3 linked regions of the Drosophila melanogaster genome follow. The protein of the gene in region 2 purifies or fractionates together with the protein of the main gene of each other region. This does not show direct contact. Each region holds a gene or a part of one and is shown on either strand. Other genes may lie near its edges. The genes, in order: CG9922, san and Naa15-16.

Region 1 (6,999 bases), on a different chromosome or scaffold from region 2:
TCGTGTTTTTTGCCTTGACTGGGTGGCAACTCCCTTGTTTTTCTCGGCTGACGAAAAATTTGACCGAAATAAATCAATTAAATTGAAAGTGTAGTGAAAAGCAAATTCACAGTGAAAAAGGTGCAAGGTGGGAGGCTAAAAAAAGCCGTGTTTAACAAGGCTTTTCGAGCCCAGAACCCAGCAGGCGTACGTGTGTGTTGGTGCGTAAGCCCATAGACGTCACACGCTCACGCACACAAATAAAGAGAGCGGAGCCTCACTATTTACTTTGATCACCACGTAGTTAACTAGCTAAAACTAGTGATTACGCACTAAGGCGCCATGGACGGAAACAAGGACGAGGCCCAGCGGTGCATCGACTTCGCGGTCCAAGCGCTCGCCGCGGGCAAAATCGAAAAGGCCGAGAAGTTCCTTCTCAAGGCGGAGAGGCTCTTTCCTACGGATAATGCCAAAAGTAAGGATAACAAAGGAAGTAGATCCACTGGATCAACTACGTTCACATTCCCATATCAATTGATGCGATTTAGTTTGGCAAGCATGCTTCCCTTTGCCTTTTAAAAGCGGTTATCTTTGAGGCTTGTTATCAGTAGAAACAACCAAGTTATGTTTGTGTTATGTCGCACCTTTCGTGGGTAAGCCAGGTAGAGTGGTACGATCTTTATCGAATTAGCTTTTAACATACAGCCTTGACGATATTCTAAAGATGAAAAGCAGTAAAGTAATAGTCATTACACAATACAAGAGATGCGTTGCATTCATTATTTTCACAAGAGCATTATTGCAGCACCTTTGTTTTAAAGTCCTTGTAAAACTTAACAACAGATCAACAACATCATGCCACAGCATTAAATGAATATTGACCTTTGACCTGCTGACGTGTTTCTTTTCCATCTTGTAGAGCTACTTGCCCAGTTGAAGAGCACTCCGAGCAACGAAAGCAATGGCAAATCCCGTACAGCGGGTGCCAGCGATGAGAAGGACAGCGGGCCGAGGAAACGTGTGAACTCGGATTCCCGTTCCAGTGCCCCAGATTACACCAAAGATCAGTTGGAAGCTGTGCGAAAGGTCAAAACGTAGGTACCACTCTATATAGCCAGCCTTTCACATTACTAATTGCATTTGTGCATTTGGTATTAGATGTAAGGACTACTACGAAGTACTGGGCGTTAGCAAGACGGCCACTGATTCGGAGATCAAAAAGGCCTACAAGAAGCTAGCTCTGCAATTGCATCCCGACAAGAATAAGGCTCCTGGTGCGGTGGAGGCTTTCAAGGCTCTCGGCAATGCTGCTGGCGTACTTACGGATGCCGAAAAGCGCAAGAACTACGATCTGTATGGCATCAATGAGTCGCACAATGGTCACGGCAACAATGGTGGCGGACACCATGGACACGGGCAATACTACAACAACGAGTATGGATATTCGCGTGGATTCCAGGCTGACATCAGTGCCGAGGAGCTGTTCAACATGTTCTTCAACGGCGGATTCCCACAGCAGAATGTCCATATGCGGCAGCAGCGACGTCGTCAGCAGGCTCGCGAGGATCGAGAAGTAAGTGTACCGAGTCGAAATCATTTGTGCACATTATAAACGACTGCCTTTTATCTCCATATCAAGGGTAACAACTCTTCGGCCTTGGTAAACTTGCTGCCCATCGTGCTGCTCATTGGACTCTCCATGATGTCGTCCTTCTTCATCTCGGACCCAATGTACAGCTTGACGCCCTCTCAGTAAGCAAACCAAATTAAAAATTAGCTTAGCACTAATGTGGATTCATTTCTCTAATCCGCAGTAAATATTCGGTGAAGCGTGAGACGAACTCCCTGAAGGTACCATACTACGTAAAGGACAACTTCTATTCAGAATATCAGGGATCAGTGGCCCGATTAGAGGAATCCGTGGAAGAGGACTTTGTGAATCATCTAAAACACTCCTGCAGTCGAGAGAGGAATTATCGTAAGTTAGGCAGAGGAACTATACTAAACTGATATTAACATAAACGATTTACAGGCGACTCAATGCTGGCCAAGGCGCGTACCTTTGGCGATCGGGATCTGTACAGAAAGGCGCAGAACATCAATACGCCATCGTGCGAGAATCTGCAAAAGTATTTAATCACATAAATTAGTTAATGCTATCACACGAAAAGCTACTCCTCAAATCCACCACTATTTGAAACCTTAACTGCTGGGTTGTGTAGTTATTGCATATTTTGCTTTAGTTGTTATAAATGAATTTCATTGTCTATTTTGTTTCATAATTTATATGTCTATTTAAATACCTTCCCTCTCTCCCCCAAAAAAAAAAATGAAACGGAATGAAACGTATAGAGCTGCTATGAGGCATCAGGTTTTCCCCAATAACGTTTGGTAGCATTTTCATTTCGTATAGAAAGCAATCGGGCAATATGTGAAAGCGAAGCAAACGCAACTGCCAAAAAGTCATATTTACACGATTTACGAATATAAGTGGGCGGCTGAGACGAAGGACTTTGCGTTTGTTTCATTTAGCAATCGGATACATAAATTATAAACATAAATTATACACGGATACGACGCATCATCACATTTTTCTTAAGGACACGGAACGCATGGGCAGTGGCGATATTCTGAATAAAATTGCAAGTTATTATAACTCCAAAATAAATTCGTTTAGACGATGTAAGCACTCTCACTCATTTGTGGGCTTAAAAGTCTTTTTGTTTTGTATTGTTTTCTTCGCTAGAGTTTATAAATGTACAAATAAAGCAGTGTGTTGTTACGCTACATAAAAGAAACAGACGGCGGATTGCTTCGGATTCCACGAGCACCTCAATTGCTGATGATGGCTTCCAAGGCGGCCACCACATCGCCGCTCTGCTCGCGGAGCACTTTCTCGGCATGCGCCTTGCTAACCAGCAGCTCGTTCATCTGAAAGGGCAGAGGGGAAGGAAACCATTACAAAAGGAAGATCGGAAGAAAGTTATCTATGGGAAACCAAAGGAGGAAATCTAAGGGAACTGGAGCTAATGCAATGAACTATATTTGTATCTCTACAATGAAAGGGAATACTTCCTTGTAGTTTCGCATACGTACAATCAGTTCAATGTCCTCCTTCTTGACTTGGACCTTCTGGAGCTCCTTCTCTTTGGCTACTCGCAGTTCGTTCTCCTTGTTACGCTGGTTGCCAAACTGCTCCACGGCCTGTAAATTATAAAAAAAAAGGATGTTGTTAATACAAATATTGCCTTGCTAATAAATATATGAACTTACGCTGGATATATTGTCCGCAGAGATCTCCTTTTCCTCGGCATAATCCGTCACACGTTCCAAATCTAAAAGCAAGATGAAGTTTTAGTATTAATACTCCATATTTATTAAGGATTGGTGCACAATACATGATATTTCATAGATGCCAGTCATTTTTTTGCAATTTTTCAGTGGAATGAGTTGCGGCATGTGAAATATTTATTTACCTGCGGCGCCGTCGTCATGTCGTTTCACATCGGATTTCTTTTGCTTTTTATCCTGCTCGTCATCCTCCACTTCTTCTCTGCCGTTGATTTCCGCTGCTTCCGTCATTTTCAATTGTTTTTTTTTATGTTTAATTCAATAAAAGTTCCGAAATTCTTTGCGATTTCTTCACCTCGTGCGATTAGAGATGGACTACTAGCGATAACACAATCGACATAATTTAACTAATAATCTATGAGTGTTTGCTTGGCTTTTATTGTAATAGTTTTTGAAGTTTTTTATGTAATTTCGAATTTGGAAATTGTGTATTTTCAATATGCACTTAGCGCTGTATTAAATTAATTGCATTTATGCTGCGTGTCAGCGTTGCCACCTGTCTGTTTTTGATCGAAAGCGACAGCCCTGTTTCAAAAGGCGCGCAGTTTGAAAAGTGTGCTTCAACAATTGTACACTTCCAACCAAAGAAACAGTAAAATCATCAAAACGCCAAGAAATAGTGTCATATTGTTAAACAATAAATTAAACGAAGTTGATTTTGACAAGAAAGGCGAGGAGAGGAGAGCAGTTAAAAGTTGACCCCACAAGTTTTAAGCAAAACATTGACACATCTTTCTTTAAATTTAAAGTCAATGCTAAAGTTTTTAACCGCAAAACTAATTAAAAATGTCTAGCACATGCAACGTAAGTAACTGCTTTTGGCGCTTTGCTCGTTTCTTTCGCACATTCCCAATTTTTTTGTGCTGCGGTCGAAATGTTAATTATAAGTTTGATGCTCCGGCTATAATTAGATTTTGAAGCAGTAGAGACATGCATACTTCTCTGCTCTGATGTGCGACATCCTTTTTTTAGTTCAGCTCCCCCGCCGCTCCTCTAGTCCACTGTGTGTGTGTGTCACTGTGTCCTGTGTGTCCTGTTGACATAATCGTTTGCCATCATGATTAATTTAATTGTCACTTTGACGTAAAGGACACTCACAGTTCCTCCTGCTTGCGTGCTTTTGCCCGGTTTGAAAATCAAGATTAATTAGCATCCATGACCATGGGCGGTCAACATCATTTGTTAGGGGGCGTGTGCGCAGATGGGGGGTTGGTTTGCACCAAAAAAAAAAAACGGGGGATCCACGGGGTGGCGACATATGTGCACTGCATTTAATTCGATTTTATTTCGGCAGCTCCGGATTTTTCATCGGAATTTCGCATGCGGAGCGCAAGTGATCGGAAAATGAATAAGAAATGTGAAATGTGGGAATTTTTGTGGTTTTAACTCAGTCACACAGATACCCTTTAAAAGTGGAAATATCTGTTGAGAAAGTGAAAAAGTCATTATATAAACAATTTGTAGTTCGCTTAATTAAGCTTAAATAAAAGTAATTTTCTAATCAATGACAATTTTATGACTAACAGTATTTGAAAAATAAATAATAATACTTATTTAATATATCAACTAATTTACCTTTTTCTTTTGAAGAGTACGCAAAAGGGTTAAATGCATTTTGTTTACCCGCGCAATCTCAGCTCAAACGAAGCATATGCGATTGGCAGCAACAGGCATTGCATTTGCATTTGCATTGTTAGCCCAGTTCTCATTTTCCATTTTTCCATTTTCCCCGATTTTTCACCACTCGCTTTCCCCATTTTTTTTCTCCCCGTTTTCCGTTTGCCAATTGGAAATTAAATTATGGTGCTAATTAGCGCAGCACATAAATTAAGTTGCCAATTTCGGTTGCCATTGTGGTTGGCAATGGCAAATTGAGCGTTGCATATCCACAGGGGCATCCTGTTCCTTTTACTGTGTGTTAGTGTGTGTGTGTGTGTGTGTGTGTGAGTGCTTGCGTGTGTGTGTTGGTGCTGGCACCCGAAAATTCACACAGTATCTTTTCTTTTTTTTTTTGCCATTTTTTCGGGGTTAAATTCGCTTGCGTGACGTAATTTAACTTGCATTGTCTTCGCGAAGGGCAAACATTTTGTTCGAATTTGTTGTTTTCCCTTCTGGTGGTTACTTTCTGCGTTTTACACTCGGTTTTATTGTTTCTTTTTTTCTTTTTGTTGCGGTTTCTGTTCTTTTTATGCCAACTTTTTAAGTGTGCAAAATAGATACAAAGATAGCACAGACGACAGGCCATAAATGAGTTATCAGGATTGTGTAATAATTTAAGGCGCTAGAAATGCAGATACATATATGTTTTAAAGGGATTTAGACACTTAAAAATATATGACATGTGTAGATACTTTAAAGAGTACAAGCTTTAATTTATTTGTTTTTTTTTCTGTTATATTTAGAACTTTCTGCTCTCTTGTCTTTCCGTGTTTTAATTACCAACACCCGAATGTAAATTTTGTTGATTATCAATTTGGAAATGCTCGTTGCCAATTTAATTCAAGAATTTGGCAATGAACATGTGTTCAATTTGCCACACCTCCATCAAAAATCAGCATTTCTGCTGGCTTCCTGCTTCATTTTGGGGCATTCCCTTCACGAACTGAATGCAGAATGCAATTGGCTGCACATACAGACGAGTTCACAATACTAGCAATGAAAATACAAAATTATAAACTTTTCTGAAAAATCAAACTGTATGATGGAGTAATAAAGATATTTGCTAGCTAACAAATATACATATATAAATTTTTTCAAATTCATATTTATTTAAGTTAAAGTGTCCTTTGTTTCAATACATTTTTGAGTCGAAATTTGTGGCACCTGCTGTTTAATATGGCACTTGTCTGCGTGATTTTCAGGATGCCACGGGTCGTGTCGTCTGTGGCCAAATGACATTGGGCTGTTGGCATTCGTGGCCAGTCAGTCAATAAATAAATTAGCATAGCAAATAAATTAAGAAAATGCAATTTTCAAGAACTGTTGCACAGACGACGCGCCCTGCCACGAATTTTCCATTCAAATGTGCGATTCAAGGACGGTCTTTAAATTTGTTTGGTTCAACTTTTGAAGGCGGCGAACGTTGGCGTTTCTGGCTCATTGCATGCATAATTGGCTAACAAACTCAATTACGCTAATAACACTCGAAAGCCCGGCTCAAATCCAGTGTGTGTCCTTAAATATTTATGTCTATGGGTGAGCGCGCTTGACTGACGCCACGAGAAATTATCCTTGTAGCAGAAAAAAAAAAAAATAGAAGAACAAAACCAAAACCGAAATCAAACCAACTCAACTGGAGAAGAAAAAACGAGGATTGGGGCAAATAATTGAGCCATTGAAGGCGCTCCAATGGTCAGCAAAAGTTCCAACAGTTGTAACAGATAGCGAAGTACGAAAAGTTGCTCCTTGCAAGGATACTTTCAGCCGGCGGGGATTGGGATGGGGACTTGGGACTATCCTTGAGGTAGCTGAGCTTGTGTGGCGAAGGCGACCTATTGACGACCTTTATCGTGGTGTACATAAACCATAATCGCAATTGGCAAGTGGTCGCCACTCGAGGAAGCATCCTTTTGGCCATTGTCATGCTTCACAGGATGGACACACCAGCCACCGATTCCGTGGCATATACGCACAAACGTTACACTTGAAACAATAATGTTTACTTTAGAT
Region 2 (7,193 bases):
TTGCCGTGCTTCGTCTGTCCACACCACTGACCTTTGGCCTCTCAACGAGAGCCATCAATTTAGCCAGTACGAGTCCATCGGGTGGAACAACAGTCACTGTCACGGGTTGGGGCCACACTGATAATGGAGCCCTCTCCGATAGCTTGCAGAAGGCCCAGTTGCAGATCATCGATCGCGGAGAGTGTGCCTCGCAAAAGTTTGGCTACGGTGCGGATTTTGTGGGCGAGGAAACAATTTGCGCTGCCAGCACTGATGCAGATGCCTGTACGGGAGACTCTGGAGGTCCTTTGGTGGCCAGTAGCCAGCTGGTGGGCATTGTATCCTGGGGTTACCGGTGTGCGGACGACAACTACCCCGGTGTCTATGCCGATGTGGCGATTCTGCGACCTTGGATAGTCAAGGCGGCCAATGCCATATGAACAGATTTTGGAAAATAAAGACCATGCTTAAAAAAGTTTAAGAATGCAACTCCATTAATATTCGCCCCCCAGGTGGAATCGAACCACTTCGACGCAAATCGACTACGGATTTGAAGTCCGCACCCCGGACCACCGAAGTTCAGTGGGGCATTTAGTGTGCTAGAGTTTCCCTAATTATATACACGTTGTGCTGAATAAGCACTTGGGAATTTTAAGAGTACGTGTAGAGCAAATTCCAGTAGATCTGAGGGCAATATAGATAACATCGGAAATCACGAATTTCATGTATAGTGTTATATGTCTTCTTTGGTCAATGTTTTATCGCATCCAAGCTCACCAGGAACACCACGAGTTGGTTTAGGTAAAAATTTAAGATATACGCATTCGAAACGAATGTCTTGAAATCTATAAAAGGGATAAAGTTTATTACAAAATATTAACTCAGAAAATCAGCATTTTTAATTTATGGAATGCAGTGGCAAATGCATATATAAAATTAAAGAGTAAATATCGCATTCAAAGGCGATTTCAATACCATTGAGAGGACTCATAGAATTTCAACAAAAGATCAAAGAGATTAGATAATGATAATAGTTATTCCGCCCGAGTACGCATCACTTCCGTGGCTGCTGGATGTGGATCTGGGGCTTCTGCTGCACTGCAGCCGGTGGCTTGGGCGAGTGGGCCACCTGGGCGGAGGCGGGCGTAAAGTCCGTGTTGCCCTTGACGGGGGCACCGCTCACAGAGCCGGAGTTCACGGCAATGGGTTGCTTTAAAGGATTAGAGGATAAGTTAGTTTCCATTGAAAACCACATACTTATGTCAATAGCTCACTGTCAGTCCAGTACAATCCTCTGCATCCTTGGGCGCGCGTTCTGCCGTCGGCGCTTTGTGCTGCACAATTCGCATGCCACCAGCCTTCACTATAATTAAATAACAAAAACATATAGGGTTGGCAACAAATGAGGCTTGGCCACAGTAGCCGATTCAAGCCGTGTTTACGTAAAGCGGCTATTAAAAAGTAAGTAAGCCATACTAGTCGTCCAAAGTTGACATGTTATTATTTACATTGTACGAAGATGATTAAGTCAATGGCATTTTATAAACGTTAAGGATAAAATATAAGGCGTAAAAAGCTACTTTAAAAAGTAATAATTTCCTATTCAGTTAACGTTATTGTTTGAATTGCACGTGACGTCAGCATAAAGTACAAATACAAACATACATTTCTTGAAAGCTATGCGTTTGCTTGCCTGTGTTCGCTTATTTGTTTACTTATCAGCTTTGGCCGAAACAGGTTAAGATACTGATAAGGGCGCAGATATTCTGGCAATTGATTTGATTGGGTGCATTATTGATTGCCAACAAGGCAGTTTGTTCTTATAAGATTCAATTGCTGCCAAAAATCGAAAACTCGTCTGCATCGACACACACACACCAATGCAAGTGCACTTACATGCAGGTGGGTGTCCGGCCACAAGATTTGGTTGTTCATCTGCCATTTGTTCTGGTTTAGTAAGCTGAGGGTCGGAGAAGTTGAATAAATTAACGGCTTGTGCACAGTTAACAACAAAATGAGACCTTACCGCTTTTCTAGTTGTAAATAAATGCGCGGCACCGCTGTGTTTTGCTTTTGCGTTCTAATTGTGACACGTCCGACTGTTGTCTATCGAATTTTTAGCCTTTTCTCACTGGATGCGCAGTTACTCATCGACTGCTGCAACGCGTTCTCACTGCAAACATTTTCACAAATAGTGGTACACGAAATACAACTAGAATTTATTTTATTGCTCGATGTTTTTGTGTAACATGTTTTCTGTATGCAAACTAATGCCCACAAGCTATATTTATTTTATTATTTTCCCTTTTACTCTTCCGCCTGTAAAAACGTTGAGTATGGTAACACCATTTCGACTTTCCCAAACAAAGATCATTGTTATCTTATATCTAAGAATATTTATTTACTTAACTTAAGTGCATGCGTGTGAAATAATAAAACCTAATGCTACTACAACTATCAATCAGCCTGCGAAATGTTCTGCGCGGCACTAATCAGAGTGTCGTGTATATCCTTGGCGGACTGTATGTGAACGCGGACCGTGTTCAAGTAAGTGGGATACGAAATGGGGCCGGCGTTGTCCGGCATAAAGGTCTCCATGCGCATGGGAGTCACCGGACCGGGGAGATAGTGATTGGAGGAGTTCTGCTGCTGGAGGCACTGCATCGCCGTCTTCAAGTGGATCTCGATCTGGTCGCAACAGGCGTAAAAGTCTTCCAAGTGCTTGTCGAACCGCGGAACATGGTGGGCACCCGTGTCCCTCTTTAAGTTGTCCGCGAGATTGTTTTGCTGCAGCGCGAAGGCGCTCGACCGGATGGTGAGGAACATGGACTCCCGCAGTGGTCCCAGCAAACTCTTCACCCTGGAAATGTTGTCCAATTTTTCGGCCTGCTGCTGCTGCTGCAGTGGCTGTGGAGGCTGCTGCTGTTGATGCTGCACTGGTCCTGGGGGTCCCGATGGCGAGGATTGCATTACCTGCATCATTTGTGGCCCAGACATGGGCATCATGTTCATGTTGGGATTCATTTGGCACTCGAAATCGATGGATATTGGGGGAGAAAAATATTGAACAGCCGCGAATTGTTTTCTTTTTGTGAAGAAAAACCCGTTAGGAGATTTCTCACATTTGCGTTCGCGTACCCATGGCGAATATCGAATATAATATAAATATAACTAAGAGTTGCTAAAAAATACAAAAGTTGTACTGTAAATTTAAAAAATTCTTTAAAAAAAACTAGTTTAGAAACAAGGACTACCCAATATTTCATATTGTTACATACATAAAAGTGTATCTATAGCATAACTCACTACGAAAAAGTAGAGGTAACAATATGTTTTGAAATTAAAAGTTGGCCATTATTGAAAGTGTTCGTTCATATTCTAACTGTCAAACAAGTGATAGCTAATGTCAACCGACCGGAAAGAGCTGTCATCTCATTTAGTGTATGCGTATCCCAAATAAAAAACGATGTGTAATGTTTCATTTAGCATTGAGTGTTTTTAGTTCTGTTTTAATTAATTATTAGTTTTTGTTTATTGCTTAAAATAGTGTGAGCAAAAAAGTTTAGTTAGTAGTCTTAGATATGAAAATCAAATTTATCTTGCTATAAAATAGCTATTCTGGCCGGCGTCAATAACCGATAACGATAACTTGCGACCTGCAACCCGAACAATCAGGAACAGCTGAGGCGCTTAAAACACATTTTCCTATTACAATTTTCGGCGCAAAGCGCGTTGCTAAATCAACAGAAATCGTACAGACAACATGACTAGGTGAGTGGCTATCTTTGCCGGACCATTGGAGGATTGTGACTGCAGGAGATGCACCGGAATCATAACCTAAAAGTGCCGCTTGGGTCGGAAAAGCTAACCCATGTTCCTACCCTTTCCCGCTTGCAGGAGCAGCATCGAACTGGGCGACGTGACGCCCCACAACATCAAGCAGCTAAAGAAGCTCAACACCGTGGTTTTCCCGGTCTCCTACAATGACAAGTTTTACGTGGACGTCCTGGAGGCCGGCGAACTGGCCAAATTGGCCTACTACAACGACATTGTAGTGGGCGCCGTCTGTTGTCGCATCGACAACACTGAGAACCAGCGGCGCCTGTATATCATGACCCTAGGATGCCTCTCCCCGTACCGGCGCCTGGGCATCGGCACAGTTATGTTCGAGCACATTATGAACTTCGCCGAGAAGGACGGAAACTTCGACAGCATTTTTCTGTAAGAAAACTTATCATTAAGATTCGTGTGTTTTCGACACACCCCTGGGGAGCAATGTAGTTCGATTTTAATGTAACCTATAACTATTTAAGTGGGAAAGTTTAATTCCGGCCTATCTGGCTTATTTATCTATCCATTTAATACATAATATATATATTTTTGGCTAAGGAGGAAATAGGTTTATTTCGAAAATACTTTAGATCATGTTTTTTAATTCTGGTTATAATTTTAGACATGTGCAAATCAACAACAACGGAGCCATCGAGTTCTATAAGAAGTTTGGTTTCGAGATTGTTGACACCAAGGAGCAATACTATAAGCGCATCGAGCCGGCGGACGCTCATGTACTGCAAAAGACTCTGCGCCGCACTGCACCCAACTCAAACAGCACCGCCACCAGCACCACCGCGAACTCAAATTCACGTAGTAAAGCACGACAGTTCACATTTGTTTAAAGATGAATTTCAATATGTATAACAAACAGACATGTAGAGGCGGCCAAAACGATGTATTCAATTAGTCCGATCATATCTATGTGTAATCAATAATAATTACCCCTGCGCGGGAATAAATAGCTCTATACGGCTTGGCCAGTCGAAACTAACATTACTTGGGCAATGCAACGCGACGATGGCTTTGTCTACTGTTACGGAAACTTGTACAGCCTCCTGCTCTACTGGGGATTGGTCACAATCCGGGTGAGAAGTCCTGATCGTGGAGGTGCGTTTTCAAACAGGTGGACTGTGTGCTATGCCCTTTTCACGCGCTCCTTTATGGTTATCTGCTTTATGGCTACCGTGATGACTAAGCTGAGGGATCCCGAGATGTCCGCTGCCATGTTTGGACACCTTAGCCCGTTGGTCAAGGCAATATTCACCTGGGAGTGCCTCAGTTGCTCGGTCACCTACATTGAGTACTGCCTTTCGCTGGACTTGCAGAAGGACAGACACCTGAAACTCGTGGCTAGGATGCAAGAGTTCGATCGTTCCGTTTTGATGGTGTTCCCTCATGTTCAGTGGAACTATCGACGCGCTCGCTTGAAGTATTGGTATGGCACTGTGATTGTCGGCTTTTGCTTTTTCTCCTTTTCCATCTCACTGATCTTCGATACGACGCGTTGCACATGCGGCATACCGTCCACCTTGCTGATGGCCTTCACCTACACCTTGCTGACCAGTTCCGTAGGATTGCTGGGTTTCGTGCACATAGGTATTATGGACTTTATAAGGGTTCGTCTGCGTCTGGTGCAGCAGCTGCTTCACCAACTTTACCAAGCGGATGACAGTTCAGAGGTGCACGAAAGGATTGCTTATCTTTTCGAAATGTCCAAGCGCTGTTCGTTTCTCCTGGCGGAGTTAAACGGAGTTTTTGGATTCGCCGCAGCTGCTGGTATCTTTTATGATTTCACTATCATGACCTGCTTCGTGTACGTTATCTGCCAAAAGCTGCTGGAGAGAGAGCCCTGGGATCCCGAGTACGTGTACATGTTGCTGCACGTGGCCATACACACCTACAAAGTGGTCATTACTAGCACCTATGGGTATTTACTTCTGCGAGAGGTGGGTGACCTTATTTCCGTATGCAGAAACTTGCATTTCGCATCTCTATCTGGTTTTCTCTAGAAACGCAACTGTATGCATTTGTTGAGCCAATACTCGCGATACTTCTCCGGACAGGATGTGGCTCGCCGGAAAACGGAGGACTTTCAGCATTGGCGCATGCACAATCGGCAAGCGGCAATGGTGGGCAGCACAACCTTGCTAAGTGTTTCTACCATTTACCTGGTGGGTGATACCATGAGCCGCTCGGAAACCTGCCTGATCTGATCTTTTACTTATCCTGGCAGGTGTACAACGGAATGGCCAACTATGTGATTATCCTGGTGCAGCTGCTATTTCAACAACAGCAAATCAAAGATCACCAGTTGACATCGGGCAAAGATGTGGACATTGTGGGCCCAATGGGACCCATCACTCACATGGATTGAAATAGTTGCAATTACATTGAAAAAAATTAGCTTATCTTTATTACGTATACTACGTATCTTAACACGTTGCAATAAAACGGTTTGGTTAATTACTTCTTTATAGTTCAGCTCCGAATTAAAACACACTCAGATCATCATAAAGGCGTTTGACAGTTTTGGTCCTGGCGCCTCCTTCGGTACTGATTGCCACTCAAATCCGTCGACGAGGATTTTGATCGCCGGCACAAAGTCGATAGAGAACTCATGGTACTTTGATTTGGCGGTAATGTTATGACAAATTTTTCTCGTCGATACCGCAAATGGTAGCATCTCATCCTGCAGCAATGGGACTTCAAAAGGATGCATAGTAAGAAATGATTAAGAAATCGATTTGTTATCTCATCCTATTACCAGAATTGAAGCTTTTAGAAACAAATGTGGAGGTCAAAAAAAACAGTTAGCTTAATTTTACTAAAAGGCCATTATTCAAGACATTCTTTACATAGAAGTTTTGTTATTCTGTGATTTGTTAACGTTTTTGAACTTGGTTTTAACATATATGTAAGGGGATTAGATACATCACCTTTGCGCTTAAATGTTGATAACGATCCTTTGACAAATACATACATACATGCATACATAAGTAATATAACATTTAACAGTTAAGTATATGAATACTGTCAGTTGATATCAAAGCGACTTATGCTGGTACAATCTTTCGAATTGAATGGATGTCTTTAGAAAACTTTAGTTTGGGTTTAATCAATGTTGCAAATATGCCAATTGGCTGGGTCAACACAAAATACAAAATAGTTCCTGGGGGTCAATCAGGTGGGTGTAGAATTAAGTAAATATGTATTGGTTGCAGATTGCATCAAAACTCCGTTAGGCGGTGTTCATATAAAAATCGCCTACATTAGGTATACGCATACCAATGGACTGAGTATATACATATGTATATTTGAAGTGTTTACATATATAGCTGTATGTACATACATATGTATATGTATGTATGTCTGTAGTATAT
Region 3 (10,467 bases), on a different chromosome or scaffold from region 2:
CCAGCAGCGCCAACTGTCGAGGATCGAACCGCAGCCGGAAGTCCACGTCCCTCATATCGTCGCCCTGCGCCTCCTCCTGCTCCTCCTCGTCCTCCGCTACCCGTCCAGCGCTCTGCTTGAGCAACTTGCGCTGACGGGGTTGCTCAAATCGCTGGCGGCGCTTCATGGCTTTCAGCTGGCGCAGCTCACCATGTCGCGTTGCGCGCTCGGCACTGGTCAACTGGGAGTCCGAATCGCTGGCCACCACCATGCCGCAGCTCTCGAGGATGCGCTGGAACTGTTGACGCAGCTTGGTCACCTCATAGAAGCGCTGCTCCTCGATGCCCAAGCGACGGCACCACTGTCGAGTGCCATCGCGCCGCATCTTCAGCTGCACCCACACGTTGTAGAGTCGCACCAGGGTGAAGAGGTCGCCATGATCGGACTCCAGAGACTCCCGCTCGCGCACGCAGCGCTGGTCTGTGTGGGCACGATTCGTCAGCGGGTTCTGCACGCTCAGCATGGCGGCCAGGGTCAGCAGCTGCTCCACCTCGGGAAACACGCTGCCCATAAGCAGCATCTTGCCGATGGACAGCTCTACGGGCAAGTTGGCCAGCGATCTGCCCAGCGGTGTGATCTTTTCCTCCACGCTGAGGGCGCACTGCAATTAGAGATTAGAAGTCCGGTTGAATTGGGGTCTACACAGTTGGGTATCGGTGAAATGCTCACGTGTTGCTTTAGCGCCAGAATAGTCTGCTCGATGCGCTCCGTTTCCGGGGCCTCTATGAATGGAAAGGCCCGGACGTCGGGCAATCCCATGGACACCATCTGCAGCAGCATCGTGTCGAGCGGCACGCGGTAAATTTCCGGAGTGGGATATGCCTCGAAGGCGTTGTATTGCTCCGCAGTGTAGAGCCGAAAACAGACCTGCGCTCGGAAAGTGGGAATGTATGAGAAATGGAGCAACCGTGGGTTAGGTTCTAGCTTACACCTGGTCCCGTGCGACCAGCACGACCCTTGCGCTGATCCGCAGACGACTTGGACACCCAGAACTCTTTCAGACGCTGGCCCTTGCAGGTTGCGTCGAAGTTCATCTCCTTGACCTTGCCAGAGTCGACCACGAACCGCACGCCGTCCACGGTGAGCGACGTTTCGGCTATGTTGGTGGACACAATGCACTTGCGCATGCCCTCGGGTGCGTAGTCAAACACCTTGCTCTGGTCCGCGATCGCCTGGCCACTGTGCAGCGGCAGGACGAGCCAATGAGTCTGTTCGGTGGCATACTCGTGAACGGCCTCCACAACAGATTCGATTTCGTTTACGCCGCTAACGAAGATAAGGACGTCACCGCGCTCGCTGGCTAGGTAAGATGATTATTAGGCGATCCCTACAAGAACATGATAACTAAACTCACTCGGATACTGCTGGTCAATAAGGCTAAGCACCTGGACAAATGGAGCTGGATCGATGCGGTTTCTCTGAGAGCGTTTGGATGTCGCCTGTCCCGCCTTTAGTTCCAGTGCAGGAGGCGGCAGATAGCGCAGTTTGATGGGAAATAAACGTCCCGGCACCTGGACCAGCCGTGCGCCCTCCTCGCCGAAGTAGCCGTGGAAGAGCTCCACGTTGATGGTGGCAGACATGAGTATCAGCTTCAGTTGCGGCCGCGCCCTCAGTAAGCACTTGGTAACACCCAGTAGAAAGTCACCGAATAAGTTGCGCTCGTGGATTTCGTCCAAAATCAGGGCATCGTACTGGTCTAGGTTGGCGGCCACCGCTAGTTGCCGCAGCAACAAGCCCTCCGTAATGAAAAGGATGTTGGTGAGCTTCGTCCGACTGCGCTCGAATCGGATCTGGAATGCCACCCGACTGCCGTAGTCGTCCAGCAGCTCGTGCGCAACGCGCTTGCACAGGGAGACGCAGGCCAAACGGCGCGGCTGGGTGCAAGCTAGGGCAACAAAAGGTCGATCATTGGTAAGGCAGCCTCAATGGGAAGCCGCATACTCACCAATGCTGCGGTAGCCAAAGTCATAGAGATACTGGGGCACCTGTGTGGACTTGCCGCAGCCAGTGTCACCGGCCACGATGACCACGCGGGACGTGTCCAGTGCCTCGCGCAAGTCCTTCCGGAAGCGAGCAATGGGTAGATTGCGTTGTGTCTGCCGCAGCTTTCGGATACGCTGGAACTTTTCCGTCTGGCGGAAGTCTAAGTACACCAGCAAGATATGACGAAACTGGGACTGCATTTGGTCGCGCGCCTCCTGAAGCAGTTCGTCAGCGTCCAGCCGCAATGCCAAGTGCTTGCTGCGGTGATACGGCTGCATGCTGCTCAGCTCCGCCTCCGCGAGTCGAGGCGGCAGCACGGGCTGGCCCGTGGAGCGCATCATAGCCTCGTACTTGCCCACGAACTTCCAGAAGTCAGCCTCGTTCTCCACCAGACTCCTGCCTACCTGGCGGCTCTTGGCCTGCAGCAGGCCCACGAGCTCCGCCTTGTGATCCAAGAAACTGAACTCGATCAGATTGATCTGAGTCCTGCGGCGGCTGGAGGCATGTTCATCTGCCTTCTTCTTTATCCGAGACATTTTCACCGAAGCAAAATAGTTCCTAAAATTTGTATTTACTTCTTCCCACAGCAAACGATAACACTGCTACCGATAAACGGTCAGCTGTGCAAGAACCCAAGCCGATAACACAATTCTGGAATGTGGATGACTACTAACAAGGTTTATTTCCCTAGATTGCTAACAGAAGATGCTACCACATGGCGCGCTGGACGCCGGACAGCTTATTGTAGTCGGCGAGGTGGCGCCACACGATTCGACTGAGCCTGTACTTGTGGACAACTCCGCGCGGACGTGACGTAAGCGCGCAGCGTTCCCTCACCCGGACGAGCGATGAGTCCCGAGGAAAAGCAGCGATCTCGGCGTCGGCTACCTCGCGTAGCTCCGGCGGCAGGATGTCGTTCTTGCGCAGCGAGTTGACTCGCAGCCGCTCCACGGCGTTCTCCTTGACGCACTTGCGCCGCTTTACGTCGCGAATCATCTTCCAATCGGCATACTTTGTGCGCACCTGCTGCAGCTGTTAAGACAATGGGCTGGATATTATGTTCGCTTAGCTAGGAGTACGATGTTAACTTACCCCGCAGCCGGCTATTTGCACGGACTGGCACACAAAACCCCCGATCCTGGCCAGAGAATTCATGTTGTTGCTTTCGGTGGTGCTCTTCTTCTTTTTGCCTCTTTACTTTGTTCGCTATAGTGTCGGTTATTAACGCGCGGGACTATCGATAGGCAACAGCTGATGAGCCCATACAGTGAATTGCAAATTTATTGCCTATTATTTTCGTATACGAGAACTGGGTAATTTAAATGAAAAATACGATGGCGAAGCATGCGGTGTGGAATCTATAAGGTTAAAACATGGAAAGCCGGCTGACTTTCGACCTCTCGGAATAAGTTTTAATTAACAATTCACTCGCTTTACATAACCGCCTAGCAGCGCGATTCAAAACGAGCGCGTTCACACCCATTCGCAGTGGCGTACAATTGCTGTTACCATTCGCCGCGAAGCGCGTGAACACGTGTGCCAGTGTGCGTGCGCCAGTGCGTGCATGTGCACAGTCGAGCTTGCCAGTGTGGGTGTGTGTGGTCGTCTCACGTCGATTTAGAAATTTGCTCGTGCCCGCAGTTTGCCGTTCGCCGTTTTCGCCTTGTGTGTGTGGTGTGTCTACTCCGTATAGACTGCCAATCGAGTCCAGCTCCGCTTCCGAGCAGCAGCAGAAGAGGCATCGCAACTCAGCTCAGCTCGCTGATCCACAGATCCCGCAGTCCGGTGCAATTCACGGCCAGGCGAAAACCCAGTCCCAGTCAGCAGCTGAGGAAGAACAAGAACGACCAAGCAGAAGAAGCAGCAGGCCGAAGAGAGGAGCAGCCGCAGCCTTGCAGAGATGCCTTCTAGCGATCCCCTGCCGCCCAAGGAGGGCGCGCTCTTCCGCAAGCTACTTGTAAGCCGGTCTAGGTGACCCTACTGTCCCATACCTTCCCCTTCCCTTAATACCACAACTGTGCCGCCCCCTCCCTTTGTTCGTGCCTTTGGCCGGCTTCGGCATCCATGTGCTTTTTAGCCGAAGTCAGGTGGAGAGTGCCTATTTTTGGCAGAAGCAATCCGGAGGCGATGCCTCCGCTGCTCGAGATGTGTGGCTTCAGCGGGCGATTGCACAGCTCTGCTCAACCGCCGACGTTTGTGGTCGGCCCGCTGGTCTCATAACCTCAAAATTCGCGCTGCGCGGGATGCGAGAAACTTTGACTAAAACCTTTCTTCTCTGTGCTTTCTTATCAAACAGAAATGCTACGAACTGAAGCAGTACAAAAATGGCCTTAAACTGGCCAAGCAGATCCTGTCCAACCCCAAGTACATGGAGCACGGCGAGACGCTGGCCATGAAGGGGCTTACTCTGAACGGACTGGGGCGCCGCGAGGAGGCCTACAAGTATGTGCGTCTGGGTCTGCGAAACGACCTGCGCTCCCACGTTTGCTGGCACGTCTACGGACTGCTCCAGCGCAGCGACAAGAAGTACGATGAGGCCATCAAGTGCTACCGCAACGCGCTCAAGTGGGAGAAGGATAACCTGCAGATCCTGAAGGACCTGTCGCTTCTCCAGATCCAAATGCGCGACCTCGAGGGCTACAAGGAGACGCGCCACCACCTGTTCACGCTGCGTCCCTCGCAGCACGCCTCCTGGATCGGTTTCGCCATGAGCTACCATCTGCTGGGTGACTACGACATGGCCAACAGCATCCTGGAGACGTTCAGCCAGTCGCAAACGTCGATTGTATGTATCCAGCTGCCTGCCGATTCAATTTTATATTCCAATTCAATAAAATGCTCGTATTTCTTGTTCCATGTCTCTGCTCCGTGGGCAGGAGGCGCACGATTATCGGCACTCGGAGCTGCTGCTCTACCAGAACCAGATACTCATCGAGTCGAATCGTCTGCAGCAGGCCGTGGACCACCTGACCAAATACCAGGGCCAGATCGTCGACAAGCTGGCCGTTCGCGAGACCATGGGTGATCTGTACATCAAGCTGCAGCAGCAGGAGAAGGCAGTGCCCATCTTTGAGTCTCTGATCCGCCGCAATCCGGAGAATGTGCTCTACTACGAGCAGTACATTGCCGCCCGCCAGGTGACCGACTCAAGCGCCGTGGTGTCGATCTATCGCGTGTTCCAGGAGCAGTATCCGCGCGCCCTGTGCCCTCGCCGCCTGCCTTTGAACATCGCCAACGGCGACGAGTTTCGCGTCGTGACCGACGAGTACCTGCGCCGCGGTCTGCGTAAGGGCATTCCGCCGCTATTTGTCAACGTGCGCACTCTGCACCAGATACCGGAGAGGGCGGCCGTTATCGAGGAGCTGGCGCTGCAGTATTTCGAGAACCTTACCCGTTCCGGCCACTTTTCTCGCGAAGATGCCGACGCCGGAATTCCCGTCGAGCCGGCCTCGGCGCTGGTGTGGACGGCACTGTTTCTGGCGCAGCACTACGACTACATGCGCGATACGGACCGCGCTCTGGAGTACATCAATGTGGCTATCGACCATACGCCAACACTCATTGAGCTGCTTATCACCAAGGGTCGCATCTTTAAGCATGCTGGCGATCCCGTGGAGGCGTACGTCTGGCTGGAGGAGGCCCAAAGCATGGACACGGCAGATCGGTGAGTGAGCCCCATGGACTAGCATAGACCTGCTGAACCATGTAACCATCAATGTTTTCCCCTCAGCTACATCAATTCGAAGTGCGCGAAGTACATGCTGCGCGCCAACATGGTGCAGGAGGCAGAGGAGATCTGCGCCAAGTTCACTCGCGAGGGTGTCTCCGCCATGGACAACTTGAACGAGATGCAGTGCATGTGGTTCCAGACGGAGTGTGCCCTGGCCTATCAGCGCATGGGTCGCTGGGGCGAGTCGTTGAAGAAGTGCCACGAGGTGGAGCGCCACTTTGCCGAAATCGTCGAGGACCAGTTCGATTTCCACACCTATTGCATGCGTAAAATGACGCTGCGCGCCTACGTTGGCCTGTTGCGATTGGAGGACGTGCTACGCCAGCATCCATTCTATTTCAAGGCGGCCAAGTGCGCCATCGAGGTGTACATTCGTCTGTACGACAAGCCGCTTAAGTCGGAGACAACCATTGAAGAGATTGACATTGGTATGTGGACATTACCCCACTAGCTCCCTTGCTCGTTCTAGTTAGCTGTATGACCGCCTTTCTTCGTTACAGAGAACCTGCCGCCATCAGAACTGAAGAAGCTGCGCAGCAAACAGCGCAAGGCCAAGAAGAAAGCTGAGCTGGAGAGTGCGCAGGCCGCACAGGCGCAGGTGAAGCGCGAGCAGCACCAGAAATCGAAACAGCAGGCAAACCAGGAGACCGACCCCGATGCTCCGCAGTTGGACGAGCTGGTGGCCGAGAAGCTGGAGCGCACGGACGATCCGCTGGACAAGGCCATTGAATTCTTGAAACCGCTGCAGCAGCTGGCTAAGGAGCGCATCGAGACGCATCTGCTGGCCTTCGAGTTGTACTACCGCAAGAACAAACTGCTCCTTATGCTGCAGTGCATCCGGCGCGCTCGCGCCGTCGACGCCTCGCACCCCGTAATCCACAGCTGCATTATTCGCTTCGTTAAATCGTTGACCAGCGCCGCCAAGGAGCAGCCGTTCAATGAGCACGTGCAGCAGGTGCTGGAGAAGGCCACCAAAGAACTGATAGGCAGCAAGACGCCCCAGCAGCTCAACGATGAGTTTATTGCCAAACACAACGCTTCCATACTGCATTTATACGAGGGCGCACGCAGTCTGTACGAACTGGACAATAGTAAAAAAGCTGCCGCCATCAAGCTGGTCACTAGCTTCAACCTGGCCAAGCTCCGGCTGGAGGTAAGTGACTGCCAAACCCATTTCTCCACCCACTGACTGGCCCCCTGTTGATCCTTGCTCTTTGAATTGTGTTCCGCAGGAGGCCACCAAAATCTACACAGCGTTGCGGGACGGCGATGTGTTTGGCGAGTGCGAGGCAGAGGCCGCTTCCTACCAGCAGGCGTGCCACCAACGCTTCCAGTACGCCCGCATCTTTCGCAATGTCGAGGAGCTGGAGGCTCAACTGCAGGAGAAGGAGGCCGCCAAGCTGCGCGCCGAGGAAGAGCAGCAGCAGCTGATTCACGTTGATTCTAGTGAACCGGTGTCTGTTTTGGCCACGGCAGCGGCAGCGTCTTAGGACCAAACAAGACTACTAACTAATACCCGGGCCCGAGAAGTTAGTAACAGCAACAACAGATCTGCGGCCACCACACCAACAAACACAACAAAAGCAACAATAACGAAAAGTGAAGCGAAGAACCTAACTAACAACCAACAATATGAACAGGAATAAGCTTAGCTCTATAAACAACGGCAACCACAATAAAATTCACTATTAACAACAACAAACCAAGTGCTCTGATGAGGAGGACGCCAAGCCGCTCTAGGCATGGCCGAGTTTATCTGATCGGATCGGATCGGATTGGACCGGTACGGATCAGATCTGAGGCGGCAGTTGGCTTGGCGCTGTGCCCTTGTGCGTGGCACCTACCAGTCTGCCACCTGAGAACACATCCCGTCGTCATCCGTCACACAGCATCCTACAAAATGGTTTCGGACGAGGACGAGTCGATGAGGAATAGGAATAGGAATCCGGTACGAAATGGTGCGGAGGTGATATGTGGGATTCGCACGTCGAACGTTCGTCACCGCGAACCATGTAGTTAACCAAGTTGTTGTATCCACTGTTGTGGGATTTCGAAAACTGAATCAAACGGAACGAACCTTTGTTGACAACACCCGCTGGCTTTCTTAACAACACCTTATTTTTTATTATTTTTAACGAATGCATTGTATGTACATATGAAGTCGTAATTAATTATACGCAAATCAAAACCTTAATTCGTACACAACGACAAGTCTTCTAATTCTAAACCGCATTGTATTGAGCAGAGTAGGAGCGGCAGGACTGACTCCACTGGATGCGTTGTGTGTCCTTGTGCCCATTCTAGTATATTTCTGAGCAGCTTGCGCTGGTTTAGCATCGCAATTGAGCCGCCTACATTTAGTATATCTACTAACGACCTATATAGAAACCATTGCAGTTTGAACTAAGGATTAAATAAGTAAGCGCAACGACGCCATCATTTATTGAAACCAGACCAAGCAGGAGCTCTCAATCTTCGGGTTCATCGGTCAGATTGAGGACACGCGGCTTATAGGTGAGTCTTTTAAAACGACAAAAGCTCGAGTGAGCCCGCGTTGGGGTCGACTGCACCCCAACGGCGTCCTTATGTCGGCAGATTTTGACGAAACTCTCGGGAATCCTTGCGTTAGTGGTGATTGTCAGCGTGGCTGATCCCGCCGAGGTAATGTAGCGCTTCTGTCCCTCCCATCCTGGCTGGGAAAGCTTTTTCTCAATCTGCAGCTTGACCTCAAGTGAAGGCTGGGCTATTGCTCGGCGCTTTTGTTTTGGTTTTGGTTTATTTTCTTGCTTTCTTTCTTGTTTATTTTCCTGTTTTTTTGCTTGTTTTTCTTGCTGTTCTTGTTCTGAGCGAGAGAGAACCATGGAATAATGACCACACTTGAGGAAAAGATTTCTTCCCTACCTGCCATTTTTCTGTGCAACGTTTTGGGAATAACCTGCTCGCAATGATTTAGTCATGTGGCAATTGACGATAGCTGTCAAAAAAAAAATCGTTCAAAATTCCAAATTCAAGAATACAGTATAATCACAGGGCTAGCTCGATAGCCTCCCTGATCTGGCAATTCTCTAGCTGAAGGCTCTGCGACCGACAACTAGCGAAAAAACTATGCCAGGTCAGAGATTTCTTAGGAATTTGCGACTCCTTGCTCACGCGACACGTGCAGAGTTTCGATTTGAATTCAAAAGAAAACATTTGAATTTTAATTGCCAAAACAAATTGATAGAAATGATTGAAATGATCTGCCTTCACTAGATTTTCAAAGATTGTAAACAAATCACGAACGAGATTGCTCAATACATTTGAAATTAGCCACAGATTGCGTGGCACTGACAGCTTTATTCAAAACAAAATACGTCTTATAGGACAGATCCTTCTTAAAAGCTAATTTACACAATGCAGCTTGGCATTCTATCGAGTAACAACAAAATATGGGTAAAGTCCAGTTTATTGAAAAAATATAAAGACGAGTCAGTCTCATTTTAGTATTCACATAATCCGCAACTCTAAAAAAAAAATGATCTATCGTGTGCGGCAATTCTAGTGCCTCGCACAGACTAGGAGAGATAGAAATAAGGTGATATAAGATCCAAATAGCGTTGCATTTCTTCAGCTAGGTGGGATTTGAACCTAAAAATACCCATTTGTTCGCTCTTAAGTTGGATGCGGGGAGTCGGGCAGTATGTATTCCAAGTCGAACTTGGCTCCGATGCGAGGCACTCGATGCTTCCTTCGGTTGACCGCCTGCAACAGAAGCGAGTAAATGGAATGAGTAAATTATGCAGAATAACTATCTCTATCTCCTCCATTACCTGGGATGATGTCGTTGCTGTGGGCGCGTTCGCACTGCCTGTTGAGACCCCATCAGATTCGGACTGCGACGCAGCCGGCTGCTGTCGGCCGAGAGGAAAGCATTAGTTCGGTAATCAAGGCTTTGACTTGTAGCCAATGCTTACCTTAATTTCAAGCGTTTGCATCAGTCCAATCACCTGTTCGCCTGCTGATTGTACCGGAAGACTAGAACTGGCCTTTGTGTCTATAGTCTCGTTCGTCGGTTGCTGCAACACAGGCGAACGACTAGGATTCTTGGTGGCATCGACGTCCTGACGACCGGCTGGTTGGACGCGATTTAATTTCTTGGGACGGTACGCCTGTATGGGCACAAAATCTTGGATCGTTGAGTATCGCGGTGGCGCATTGTTGATCTCCGTCAGCTGGAGTGGCTGCTGCTGCTGCTGCTGCTGCTGCTGATTCGGGTAATATGGTTGCTGGAGGTGCATGTGCACGTTGTTGTTAAAGGTGCTCTGCGCAGCTATATTCTTTTTGGGACGCATCTGATATCCATTGTTGACGCCAGCGTGGAATGCGTTGGCGTGCTGCATGCGCGGGTGCACCCACTCATGCCACTGCCTTTTTGATGGAGCACCCAATGGCGGCTGATTCAACGCCGCTCCTGTCTGGCCGCTTCTGTAGAAATGCTGGCTATTGATACGTTCAGGCTCCATTTGCGCATGCGCCTGCTGCTGCTTCTTCTGCGCCTCCTGCTGCTGCGCCTCCTGCTGCAGCGCCTCCTGCTTCTGCGCCTCTTGCTGCCAGAAGAGCGGTGGCTTGGGTAGATTCTGCAATGAAAAGTAGTTATGTGAACACATGGTTGGGTGGCACATCTGGGCTGAAAGCAGTTACGGGCATTTGTCCGGGAAACGGAGCTCTTTGCTGTT

Evidence for each region.
Region 1: the proteins of san (region 2) and CG9922 purify together in Drosophila melanogaster (affinity purification with mass spectrometry, with the first as the bait; 2 studies listed by BioGRID). This does not show direct contact.
Region 3: the proteins of san (region 2) and Naa15-16 purify together in Drosophila melanogaster (affinity purification with mass spectrometry, with the first as the bait; 3 studies listed by BioGRID). This does not show direct contact.

What each region holds. Positions count from the first base shown.
Region 1 is NT_033777.3:14,032,369-14,039,367, forward strand, and holds CG9922 (uncharacterized protein), read right to left. Parts: upstream 4,031-6,999; 5' UTR 3,562-4,030; coding exon 3,456-3,561; intron 3,315-3,455; coding exon 3,253-3,314; intron 3,184-3,252; coding exon 3,076-3,183; intron 2,911-3,075; coding exon 2,812-2,910; 3' UTR 2,650-2,811; downstream 1-2,649. Other genes in the region: CG3061 (uncharacterized protein), read left to right, coding at 322-454, 899-1,073, 1,138-1,552, 1,619-1,731, 1,794-1,957, 2,012-2,124.
Region 2 is NT_033778.4:11,357,083-11,364,275, forward strand, and holds san (separation anxiety), read left to right. Parts: upstream 1-3,623; 5' UTR 3,624-3,742; coding exon 3,743-3,750; intron 3,751-3,876; coding exon 3,877-4,200; intron 4,201-4,432; coding exon 4,433-4,655; 3' UTR 4,656-4,789; downstream 4,790-7,193. Other genes in the region: iotaTry (iotaTrypsin), read left to right, coding at 1-419; CG12384 (uncharacterized protein), read right to left, coding at 1,034-1,189, 1,254-1,342, 1,876-1,921; ix (intersex), read right to left, coding at 2,437-3,003; Gr47b (gustatory receptor 47b), read left to right, coding at 4,818-5,759, 5,823-5,984, 6,047-6,187. UniProt on the Drosophila melanogaster protein: N-alpha-acetyltransferase that acetylates the N-terminus of proteins that retain their initiating methionine. Has a broad substrate specificity: able to acetylate the initiator methionine of most peptides.
Region 3 is NC_004354.4:19,476,700-19,487,166, forward strand, and holds Naa15-16 (N(alpha)-acetyltransferase 15/16), read left to right. Parts: upstream 1-3,284; 5' UTR 3,285-3,922; coding exon 3,923-3,979; intron 3,980-4,318; coding exon 4,319-4,807; intron 4,808-4,898; coding exon 4,899-5,686; intron 5,687-5,752; coding exon 5,753-6,180; intron 6,181-6,252; coding exon 6,253-6,905; intron 6,906-6,984; coding exon 6,985-7,242; 3' UTR 7,243-7,944; downstream 7,945-10,467. Other genes in the region: CG32533 (uncharacterized protein), read right to left, coding at 1-640, 709-906, 969-1,339, 1,394-1,924, 1,985-2,558; mRpS14 (mitochondrial ribosomal protein S14), read right to left, coding at 2,731-3,054, 3,115-3,177; pcm (pacman), read right to left, coding at 9,404-9,493, 9,562-9,642, 9,706-10,368, 10,433-10,467.